Linked DNA regions of Oryzias latipes. The protein of the gene in region 2 interacts with the protein of the main gene of each other region in a biochemical or structural test. Links are inferred from orthologs where the notes say so. Each region holds a gene or a part of one and is shown on either strand. Other genes may lie near its edges. The genes, in order: ptpn6, pdgfrb and nck2.

Region 1 (4,155 bases), on a different chromosome or scaffold from region 2:
GTAAACCGACATAAACGTGATGGTCCTTTTCAGCCTGGCTACAGCTGCGAGCTTATCAAATATCGAAGTCAATCGATCCTATTAAAAGATTTTTGGCAGCATGTGTAACAACAAATTTATTTTCCATATTTTTAAGCTCAACTTGGGCGGCCAAAGGAGGAGAAATATTAGAAAAATGCGGCTTTAGCATCGGAATAAATAAAAAATCAGATTTAATAGACAATTTTACAAACAAAAATAACATTTTTGGTTCATCAAACTGTCGATCAAGCTTTCAGACTCTTTTTTTTTTTTTTTTTTTTTTTTTTTACATAAAAACATGTTTTTTCTGTTAGAATTATTGTTTTTTAATCCAAATGAAAGGATAAGAATTAACCAAAATGCATTTTTTTCTAAGAAAGTGGCCTTGGGAGTAAGTAGATCATTTAGAGCTGTGCACTTTTTCACACAAAATTGGAAAGTGCTAACTGTTTTCACAAAGTGGAGCTTGGAAAGGGATCTTTTGCTGTAAGAAGTTACAGATAAGACATCTAAAATGAGCAAATCTGACTAATTTTCTGCTGTTGTTCAAAGAAGATGCAACCACGTCTTTTGGAGTTCTGTAACAACCTTTTTTTTCAATCCGCAAAGTTTTATAAATTATAAGAATCGCTTCCATTGCTGCTACTTTTACTCACTTTAAGAAAAGGCCTCCAACAAAACTGGCATGTGTGCGTAGATCATTCGCATCAAAATATAGGCCCTGGCGGGAGCCTGCAGCTCTCAGCTTATTTTCTTATCATCAAATAAAGGCTGCAAAACTTGAAAGAAGTTTTGCAGATGCAGCTCATGTGCTGCATCTGTTCACACCAGACATTACCTGACAGACAGGGAGAAATCTCCAACGTTTTTCTTGCTGGGTCGAGCTAAAAAGCTTCCGTCAATGCCTCGCAGCTTCAGTATTTCCTCAGCCTGCAGGCCTGTGATGTCTCTGTGGAACCACCTGGATCGACGCACAAAGATAGAAAAGATGAAGCACAACAACATTGACCTAGTAGAAGGCATACATGTGTCACATAGATTTAAAATGTACAGCTTTAAATAGACCAAGAAAATCCAGGTGCACGCATACGCAAAAGAGAGATGGGAGTTTCTCGACAAGATCAGGGGTGCAAGAAAGTGTAAAGATGGAGAGAAAAGCTGTACTTTTTAATAAAAGAAGGGAAGAAATTCAGGTGATGATCTTTTAAACATTATTAGGTTTCATTACAATCTTGAGTAGATTCTTTGTAAAAATCCTCAAAATCAACATATTCATTTTTATATTTTTTGTTTTAGAGTCTCAAACATAAATAATACTAAGGCAGAGGGTGACTTTAACGTGATAAATTAAAGGTTTTATTAAAGCCTTTGGTTTCACTGGCCTAAGAAAGATAAAAGACAATTTCATGTGATGAACCACAGTCCAAATCCTTGATCCAATAAGGGTTTAACATAAACCTTCAGAAACTATTTTCACTTTACCTACATGCAATTTGTTGATCATCAGGAAAACAAAGCGTGCATTAGGGCATAGTCAGTAATGCTGACGTACTTTAATAAATTATGTTGCTTTACAGCCTTATTAGCTAGACGAATAACCAGGTTTTTAAAATCTGACATATTGCACAAAAAAGGTTAATAACTGTTTTCGAACACATGATCTGTCTGACACTGTGGAGCTTTGAGGAAACAACAGAACTGAAACCTAAACACTTTATTTATGTCCCAGTCTCTTATACTGAACTTGCAGGGTTTAGCTGACGAGGGATCACAAATGACATGACAGAAGAGGAGCAGGACAGGCCAGCAGCAGGGAATAGACAAAAGGAGGAATGGAAACAGAGAAGTTGTTGCACAAAACACAAAGAACAAAACCAGAGTTTGATGTGTCCGGCAGAGGCTTGACTCACCGAACCATGGCGTCTCCTCACTTTTTCTGGGACTAAAGAGAAGAAGAGCGATTTGGGAAGAGTCGCTTGTTCCTGCGGCACATGTGTAGACTCAGATCACACACTTTGGCGTTGAAAGTTTGTGTAGTTTTTGCAGCTTCCTTACTTTTGGTCTACTTGAATTGTACATTTACCGCAAACACATTTGGTATGTCAAGCGCTAACTTGACCTTCAACTTAAGATATTTTTATCAAGAATCAATTAAATCTAATTGCCTTTGCTCTCCCTCTGGTGTAACACATTAACTTAATACCCACCCCTGCCCCGCCACCACCCACCAGCGGACCGCCGCTGACCCCGGTTCTCAGTCTTCCCTTCAACAGCAAAAGCAGGTAAACACTTACTCTCCTCAGCTGCTCCTGAAAACAACTGACACTGGTCGAGACGTTGACGCTGTATGTGTCTGTCTCCCCTCCTCTGCGTCGTGCTCATACGCTCTCCCCTTCCTTCCTTTCTACGTCTCCTTTCACAAAGTAGTGAAAGCAAGACAGGAACCAAAATAGCTGACAGGCCGGAATTCCTCAAGCAGATAAAGATGGTGTCTTTTTTTTTTCTTTTTCTTTTATTGATGACCAAAATAAAAACGTTGCCAATCTAAGAGCAGAGAAGGCTTCAACTCCATCACCTCCGTCTTCTGGAAAAACAGCTGCAGAGCTTCTTTAGATGACTCCTCTGTTCAGAGCTGTGAGACAACGGCAATTCCAACAGGCGTATGGTTGAAAAACACCCTCCAAAAAGGCAGTTCCATCTCCTCATCAATGCACAAATATGCCCGCTCTTTGTCTAACAGAAAGTATTTGCAAAGTTTCCTCCACCTGTCGGCTGAATCTGCCCTCTGTTCTTTACTTCCAGGTGTGTACGAGTGTGCGAAACACAAAGGTCAGAACAGAACACTTCCTCATTTGAACCTTCCCCCCTCTGCATGTGTGAGGCTGCATGTGTGCGTGTGCTGCTGCAAGCTGATATATCATGTGCTGTTGTCAACTGTTTTAATTTAAAGAACGCCGATCCAGCACCTTGAAAATTGCTGCTTTATCCTTATACGGAGTAAATTATCTGCAGCCACAAACACAAAGTACATATTGTGACTTTTAGGGGAGTTTTTTGTATCCCTAAAAACAACACAAAAATTTGCGTAGAAGCAAATGCACAACAAATGAAAATGCAAATACAGTAGCAATTATTTCATGAATTCCTCACAACCAGATAGCATGTAAGTGGAAAATAATGGTTTCCTACATGAGGTGTAAAATCGTTCAGTGACTAGCGGACTTTGGTGGTTTTATGTGTTTGCAGCAAAAAATTAAAGGAAAAAGTGAATAAGTGTGTAGTTTCTAGTACATGGTGCAGCTCTCCCCGCCCCTGCACCAACAAACACACACATGCAGCCCTGCAGGTGTCGTCGGGGTTAACGCCCGCTATTGTTGTTTGCATTATTTGCCTCACTTGCGCTTTGCAGTCAGACTTGGTTTGGGGTCTCTTTGTTTCTCAGATGTTAAGGCTTCAAATCTCAGACAAAGGCAGACGTTTTTCACACACGTATAGAATGGCTGTACACCTACAGTGATGGAAAAAAGGTTCCTGATTTGATCTTTTCACTTGGGCTATCAGGTTTGCTTGCACTGCGCTGCAAACTGATACTTTGAGCATTTTCTGCCTCATAAAAAAGGTGAACAGAGAAACATCTATAGTTTGTTGATCTTATTAAATGAACCAATCAGTAGGAATAGAATTGATTGAGTGCATGTTTTTTCTTCAGGGAAAAACAACTCCTTTATTTTGATTTTAGATATTTAGTTACTTTAAGCCCTGCAACAAATTGGCTGCTTCTCCAGGGTTTATCCAACAGTAACAGGGATAGGCTCCAACAACCCTATGACCCTGAAAGGGATTCAGCAGGTTCAGAGAACTGATGGATGGATTGTAGCTTTGAAGTCGGTTTAATGGTTGTTGTTACTTTAAATGTTATTGTTGCTTTTGATGTTTAAAAGTCTGAATATCATATTTAAAATGCTGCTATAAACAGCTGCTTGATGGAGAACTGAATTTGAATTGTGCCAGTTCCTGGCAAGCTAAGTAGCAGCTGTGCTAAAAACAAACAGCTATCTTTGGAAACATGGGCCCTATAATACAAAGCAGTCTGGAAAGTTGACGACTGAAGATAGACACCAAACTTTCTAAAAC
Region 2 (3,649 bases):
AATTACATTTCTGAGGTATTTCTGTAGTTAAATCATGAAGCCGGAGCAGACGCAAATACGCAGTTGGTAAAAAAGCTTATTTGTGATGTTGAAAATACACTTGGCGGGCCACAAGCTCCCTGCTTCGCCATGTTGAGGGGAAGGGGGGTTGGGGTTGCTTTGTGCCAACAGTCCTGTCTACAACTTCGAAGGAACTGTTGTGCTCTGCAGAAAATGACACAGATGTGTAGAAAATGACACAGATTTTTTTATTTTGGTCAAAAACAACATAATCATAATGAAAAGACCACTGGGAACGCTTTTACAAAAGATCAAAAGTTAATAAAAATGGGTCTTTAATGGCAAACTACAGAATATTCACCTTCAAAATAAAATTCCATGTTCACTTCAAGCTAACCTCAAAAGTTAGCTGTAAGGTCAGTGCATCATCAGACTACGCTTCTCAAAAGATGAACTACAAGTGGAGTAAAAAGAATTGGTTAAAGCTTCATTCTACAGCTGTGTGCCCAGGCCTTTGCTTGTTGTTCCTCAGAGGTGAACAAACAGAATCAGTCACAATTAAAGTGTTGTTTTCTGGGTCGTTTTGGTGCCATTGGTGACAACAACAAAAAAACCAAAAGTTTAAAGTTGTCTCACTGTTTTCCTCTCTAACCAGATGACATTTAATTCATGTCCTCATTAATAATGTCTGCCTTTATCGTTGGCTGGAAATAAGCTTCAAGCCTCACTTTGCTTTGGTCAACGGCAGAAATGACACAGATAAGCAAAAGAAGCGGCTTTCTTGTTTTGCCACTAATGTGCTCTTCGCTCTGGCTCCACCTCTCTGAGCTTTTCTTTGTCTCTCAGGTCGCACTCTTGGATCAGGAGCGTTTGGCAGGGTGGTCGAGGCAACCGCATACGGTCTCACGCACTCCCAGTCCAGCACAAAGGTGGCAGTGAAAATGCTGAAATGTAAGCATAAAAACGCAAGACAAGTCCATGTGCGTGATTTACGTGAACAACCAGAGACCCCTGCATGGCTGTCAAAAAAATCTTGACAGCGGGGTCGTATCCCTGCAACCTCAGGCAGAGCTGCGGCCCGCTGAGCTTTAGTTTGACTGCCAGGCCAATTCAAGCTGCTGACCACAGATCATTGAGCAATTTGGCAATAACAGTGTGTCCTGCTCTCACTTCTACTGTTCTCATTTCATCTACTATACCCTTCTTTGTGCAGCCACTGCTAGGAGGAGTGAGACTCAGGCTCTCATGTCAGAACTGAAGATCATGAGCCACCTTGGTCCTCATCTCAACATTGTCAACTTGCTCGGAGCTTGTACCAAACATGGTAAGAATCATAGCAAGCCCTATTTTTGCAATGAAATCACAGCCATTTAGAGATTTCTAGAAGAGTTTAATCATAGAAAAGTGTGTTTCTGAGTTAGTTCTTTAAGATAAGGCTATCATTTGATCTGTACAGAGGCTACACTGGGGAGGATTATATTCATGATAAGGAGCTTGAATCTTGTTTGCTAGAGCTGGATAATATCATAACCAACAGTTATGGGTTCTTGTGGAAGATAAAATTAATAATGTTTTAGTAACTAAAAACTGTCATGCTGAGGTTGTACACGCTGTGCTTTTCGCATTTATCAGCCGCATTACTTTCCTCGGGCTCCATTTTATTTTTAAGTAAATAGACACCCCTTCCCATTTTTTCTGTTCATGTTTAAGTTTGGGTTCCTCATTCTTTGAGAGGTTTGGACAGCCTCTCCTTTGTCCAAATACTTTAATATAGTATTGCCTCAATCTTTTACTGTTGAATTTTTAAGTTTTAAAACTTTTGGCGGCAGAAAATAATTCGAAAAACCCGTCAATAATAAATTGTAATTCAATAAGAGCTCTTGTATCTCATAAAATGGTGGAAATTTTGTTTTTGTTTAGAACAAATGTTTATTTTGTAACATATAGTATAACTGCTTTCTAATAGGGATTCCACAAACATACTATTTGATCATAACAAATGTATTTGATAAGCTACAAAATATTCACCAAAATAAAAGTCTAATTTGACCTCCGTTCTGTTTGCTGTTTGCTCCAAGTGCTACATGGTCCATCAACAGGCTGAAGATTTGTGGGTAAAATAAAAGCTAATCAATAAATAAAAATATTTATACTTCTGGCAAAAGATTATTTATTTTTACCGTTAATTAACAGTTAATGGTTGCTGTTAATTTACCCATTTTAATTGGAAATGACAAAAAGTTATAATACAATTAACTGCAGAGAAGAATCTCAGCTTTATTTTTATTTGAACAAAAAGTGACATGCCCAGAATTTTCCATGCAGTTTCATATTATGTCCTCATTATAAATAGCATTGCTAATAGGCAATTTTCTGCTCTTTTTCATAAATCTGTGTATGTTCTTTGTCACCACATGCAGGCCCTCTCTATCTGGTGACCGAGTACTGTCGCTATGGTGATTTGGTGGATTACCTGCACAGGAACAAACACACCTTCCTGCAGTACTACGCCGAGAAGAACCAGTACGACGACTGCCTCATTTCTAGAGGAAGCACCCCTCTCAGTCAGAGAAAAGGGTAAGGGGGGCAGAAAAACATATGAGATGTTTTATAAAACAGACTTTTTCCTTGGAATCCTGTCTCATTCCAAGAAACTGCTGCAGATGGATTTATGAAGTAGACAAATGGAGCCTGTTACAGATGTACAGATGTTTCACATGAGGAGGCACTACAATGCATATTTAGATATAGGTCAGTTAAGACTTTTTTTCCTTGCTTTTCTCTCGTCTTCAGCTATGTGTCCTTCGGCAGTGAGAGCGATGGAGGCTACATGGACATGAGCAAAGATGAGCCGTCAATCTACGTGCCCATGCAGGAGCAGATAGACACCATCAAATATGCTGACATCCAGCCTTCTCCATACGAGTCCCCCTACCAGCAGGACCTCTACCAAGATCAAGGTTTGCCCCGGCTGCTGTTAGATTTATGTCTGCTAAGTTAAGACAACTGTTGAATGTTGGTAAGAATCAATTTTCCATTTATGTAGGAGTGAATGAGGATGACAAACAAAGCATGACAAACACAGGAAACAAAGAAAATCAGAGAGATATGTGTGAAAAATAGGATGTGAGGCCACGTACTGCTGCTTTCAGAACTAGAAGTTCTAAACTCAGCTGTTTTTATGGATTAAACACGGATATGTGTGTTTTATTATGCTTTAGCAGAAAAATACAGAATTTTTCCTAGAATGTTGCAAGTTTTTTGGATGAAAAACGTATTCCTTCCTCACCTGTGTGTCTTTTCACCTCATTTTCTCCAGGAAGCACCAGCCTGGACTTAGTGATCAGTGATTGTGCCAGCCTCACCTATGAAGACCTTCTAGGTTTCAGCTATCAGGTGGCAAAGGGGATGGAGTTTCTCGCCTCCAAAAATGTAAGCTATCAAACAATCATCTTTCCGCTTCCGCCACCAACGTATCCCTTTATTTTGTTTTAAACCATTATTTTGAAAAAGTTAGTTTCAAACATGACTTGTATTTATTCGAGGAAAGAGGAAGAATAACTCAATTTACTTTTTTTCCAATGCAGTGCGTCCATCGTGACCTGGCTGCCAGGAACGTGTTGATCTGTGAAGGCAAGCTGGTGAAGAT
Region 3 (4,342 bases), on a different chromosome or scaffold from region 2:
TTTGAAGAATGTATGAGGAAGGTTGCCTCTATAGCTTCATTTTAATTTTTTAAAGTATGTCTTTTAAACAAATTAAGATTTTTATTTCCTTTACAGTAGCAAGGAAATGCGATCTACATGAATAACAATGGACATGTGGCTTAATCGTCTCCTATTTCTCGCTATTATCGCCAAGGGGCGACATATTCCTCCACAATCTGTCCATTTCCCTCTGGCGTTGTCCTGTTCTCGTCCCGGGGTTAGTGACGTCACAACCAGGACCGGGGATCAAGCTGAACGTGAATATCAGAATCAAACCGGAAATTGAGGCGGAGTCCTAACAAATAAAAGCAGGCTCGATTTAACAAAAAGATTCTGAAAGTTAGCATGAAAAAAGGAAAATAACCAAACTAAGGTACGAGTAAACTATAAACAACATCAGTTCACCAACAGACATACATGTAATTTTACATGTAATTTATATGTAATTTTACATGTATTACATTTAGGCCTGCAGCCTTGCTTCAATGACCATTAGGTAAATACACTTCTGACCGTTAGCAGTTGGTAAATAAAAGATTTTTTTTTTACGTTTTGAATTGCATACTCATTTACCCACATCACAAAGGATAAAGTGTAACCATAGAGCAAAACAAAACAAAATACGATTTTAAATGGATAGGGATTGACCAAAAAAGTAACTTGTTGATCTTTCTATTTTATTTAATTCTTATGAAAATTTTTCTGGATTAAATATTTGTTGTTTGATGCCATCATATGGACTTCAAAAGAAAAGAAAATAGTAAACTACATGGAACTGCTGTTAGCGAAACTGCTGAAACATCTGCAAAATGATAAAAAACACCTACACTTCAAACACATATACCGTTAAACTGTGAAGAACCTCTTTTTAGATGTTCCTCACCCAGACAGATATTGGCAAATGAAAACACATTAATTTAAAAAAAGAATAGAAAGAATAAATGTTTCTGCTAATATTCCACATTCATTTGGTTTCAAAGTTTTCTCTTCCTAAACATTCGTATCATCTTTTCTTTACATTTTTGTATGCTGTTGCTAAGATTTTCATTTTTGACATTTAAAATAGGTCAAATAGACGACAAAACACCTGAAGAAGTACAAGTTGAATATGTCTAAAAATGTACTATTTCAAAAAAGAAAAAAGTTAATTATATATTAAATAAAGATAGTAGTGGTGAATAGACAATAAAGCAATAATAGTACAGTGTACATTTTTGTTTATCACAGGCATAAAAATGTGGAAAAATGCACACGTTTGTTATCATGAACAATATTTAACCATATTTAATTAAACTGTGTTTTCTGACTGCATTTAATATTTTTCAAATTTCTAATATGTAATTTTAATTTACTTGTTTTTGCAAAAATTGTACTTTTTAATTGAATTTGCCCTGTTCAAACCTAGCTTTATTTTGAAAAATCGGAACGGAAGTGAAGAAGTGTGTATCTCCTAGCTTGAAAGGAGGCTGATCGAGGCGGAGGCAGTCAGCCTGCGACGGAAAAACAAGCGACAACACGTCGAACAGTACAGGTTTAGTCAGTGTTTGAAGAAAGAAAATGAGATAAACCAGAGGAGATGAGGACTTAAACGAATTTTTTTGTCACTTTGACGAGGGTTTGGTCACTTATTATTGTTGGACCCGCGCGCGCTATCCCTGTGCTGTGACGCTTGTCTGCCCATTCTGACTGGAGTGAACACTAAGGTAAGGTAAGCCTGAAATACACAACTGTGTGAGTTGCTTCTGCTTACATTACTCTTTCCAGCTGCGCGTGCCGTAGATTGAAAGGGGTTTTATTGGTCTACAGAATTATGTGTGGAGGTTTTCCTCCGTAGTGGGAGTGGGAGGCTCGGAGTGTCACTTTCTCGCGTTGAGACGCTTGGTCTTTGTCCACTCTGACCACAGACTTGGCTCGAATCTCGCTCCAGTGTTCGCGAACCACTTTTTAAACCCCCACAATTGTATAAATTTGTTTAAATTCCCACACTTAAAATCATCAATTAAAATGTTCACTAACAACATTTGTACTTTTTCGGTTAGTAAATATTAGAGGGGCCTGACTCACAGACCATGGTCGGTGGTGGTGGATTCCAGGCTGTGGTCCGGCTTTGTTTAAAATAGTTTCTTTTAACTTCAGTTCTACAATTTCGTACTTTTTTGCGTGGAAAACAATTTCTGCCATCATAGGTGTTTGGTTGGTGTGGTTCGAGATCCTGCTGACAGCGCTACGGCTCACACAATGAAGCACACTTGCCAAAGAAGCAGCAGAAATCGGCCGGGCGCCTGGTGCCACATGCCGAGCTTGTCAGTGCTCCTAGCGGCCGTTGGTGGGAACTGCACCATGCTGTCGCCTCATCAGCCCCTGTGGATCAAAGGACGCCTTGTCTGTTCTCTCACTGACTTGATGCTGGATATTTTTGTACATTTTATTTTAGATTTAGAATTTGGGTTTTCAGATTTAAATCCAGGTGTTTAAAGGTGCTGAAAGTTCTTGCGTGGTTCAGGTAGACTTGTCACACCTACTGCAGACACACCCTGTGCAAAGCGCTCTCCCGGTCTACAGTCCGCACTGACAGGTATGAGGAAGGAGGCTGCAGGTCCTGTACTGCAGAAACTCCCGTTGCATCATTTCCTTGGAATTCGATACTTGGAGCAGAAATGTTGTTTTAGAGATGAATTTCCACCCCCCTCTATGTTTCTGACACCATTCTCCCTGTCAGCTATTAATAACTCACTCTGATGAAAACTGTGGAGTTTTTTTAATATGTTCTTGTTTTTTTTTTTCATGAGGGAGGACATACATGAAGAAAATTTAGATATAAAACTGCATTTATGAGTATTTCTTTATTCAGATCGTTGTGAATCAGGAGCCGATGAAAAATTACTGTCGGAAAAAGCTTGTTGCTTTGACGTAGGCGTTTACAACGGCAAGCCACAAACTCCCTGCTCTGCTCCATTCTGATGCCTCCACTAGTACACGACTGTGCATCTTCGTTGACCTCGTCTGAGGTGGAATCTGGCTCAGAACTGTACGGCTGGATAGCTGCAATATTGCCCGCCCTTTTTGTGAAACCCCTAACGTTAGGTTGGGATGTGTGAGGGGCTCTAAGCTAGCGGGAGTTAGTGTAAACAGATAGATGACGAGATGTGGGGGTGGGCTTTCTCTGTGTGCCCACACCTCAGAGGCAAATTTCTGATGAACTCCTGCCACTCTGCATAACTATGTCCTAGAAAACGACACAGATTTTTTGATTTTGGCTAAAAAGAGCATCATCACGCTTTTACAGTAGATCAAAAGATGATCAGAGTTTGACTTTAAGCTATGTTCTCATCGCCCTCGGCAACATGTTTTTCAAGCAGACACCTTCGATGAGAAGTCTATGTAAACACTGTTTTATGGGCTTTTTTGCTCAAAACTCTTGTGTTCATGCCTGGCTACGCAAGTTTTTATGACAATGAACACGCGTTGGAAGTTAAACCAGGTCGAACTTTGACCAATCAAGGACTTGGATTTTGGAGTGACATATATATGGTTTCCTTTGTAATTCACGAAAGTGCCAACGGTTTGAAAGTTGATCATGAAGGAGGAATTAATGATTGTGGTTTGTGCCCGGCTGGAATTCTGGCATCAAGTCTTTAATATATTGGAATATAGCTGTCAAAGAAAAGACAAAAAAATAAAACCTGGAGCAAGATTTACCAGATTTGACTTTTTGCACCAAACCTTTTCTAGTACATGGTAGAAAAAGAAAAAAAAAGGGTACTTTAACATGCATTAAATGCATGGTGTGTATTAGAGGTCCAACGGATCACGGATGACCCTTGATGACCCCCCCCCCCCCCATTTAAATCGATTGTCCGTTCAAACCAAAGACAATTTGTGCGTCAAATTCAATTAATTTGAGTTAAAATAACAAAAATGAGTTTTTTACAAATACATCATATTGTCAACAATCACGATTTTGAATATGTGATTTAGAAAAATGTAAACAATAATTACTGTATTCTACTATGGATGTATTGTGAAGCTTCTAGGAGTGTGAATTCTACATTTAGGTTTTAAATATTGTTTTCAGAATTGCCTATTTTTATTCATATATTAAATGGATCCGTTTTTTAGTTTTTAGTCGTTTCTTTTAAAACAAACCCGATCTTTCCTGTCATCTTCTTAACCGTTTATTCCCTTTCGGGGTCACGGGGTTGCCGGAGCCTATCCCGGCCACTTGGGCGTAGGCAGGGGATACCCTGGACTGGTCGCCAGTCTGTCACAGGGTAGAATATCCTCAATCACACATCCATTCACTCTCACACTCACACCTATC

What was found.
Region 1: the proteins of pdgfrb (region 2) and ptpn6 form a complex in vitro, tested with the Homo sapiens proteins (2 studies listed by BioGRID and IntAct, with this or other methods). The link is inferred for Oryzias latipes from reciprocal best matches to the Homo sapiens genes PDGFRB and PTPN6.
Region 3: the proteins of pdgfrb (region 2) and nck2 form a complex in vitro, tested with the Homo sapiens proteins (2 studies listed by BioGRID). The link is inferred for Oryzias latipes from reciprocal best matches to the Homo sapiens genes PDGFRB and NCK2.

Annotation. Positions count from the first base shown.
Region 1 is NC_019874.2:20,377,626-20,381,780, forward strand, and holds the start of ptpn6 (tyrosine-protein phosphatase non-receptor type 6), read right to left. Parts: upstream 2,834-4,155; 5' UTR 2,316-2,833; intron 2,004-2,315; 5' UTR 1,940-2,003; coding exon 1,932-1,939; intron 983-1,931; coding exon 860-982; intron 1-859. UniProt on the Homo sapiens protein: Tyrosine phosphatase enzyme that plays important roles in controlling immune signaling pathways and fundamental physiological processes such as hematopoiesis.
Region 2 is NC_019868.2:16,274,599-16,278,247, forward strand, and holds part of pdgfrb (platelet-derived growth factor receptor beta), read left to right. Parts: intron 1-846; coding exon 847-951; intron 952-1,213; coding exon 1,214-1,324; intron 1,325-2,420; coding exon 2,421-2,577; intron 2,578-2,793; coding exon 2,794-2,960; intron 2,961-3,319; coding exon 3,320-3,432; intron 3,433-3,587; coding exon 3,588-3,649. UniProt on the Homo sapiens protein: Tyrosine-protein kinase that acts as a cell-surface receptor for homodimeric PDGFB and PDGFD and for heterodimers formed by PDGFA and PDGFB, and plays an essential role in the regulation of embryonic development, cell proliferation, survival, differentiation, chemotaxis and migration.
Region 3 is NC_019879.2:10,283,168-10,287,509, forward strand, and holds the start of nck2 (cytoplasmic protein NCK2), read left to right. Parts: upstream 1-1,458; 5' UTR 1,459-1,729; intron 1,730-4,342. UniProt on the Homo sapiens protein: Adapter protein which associates with tyrosine-phosphorylated growth factor receptors or their cellular substrates. Maintains low levels of EIF2S1 phosphorylation by promoting its dephosphorylation by PP1.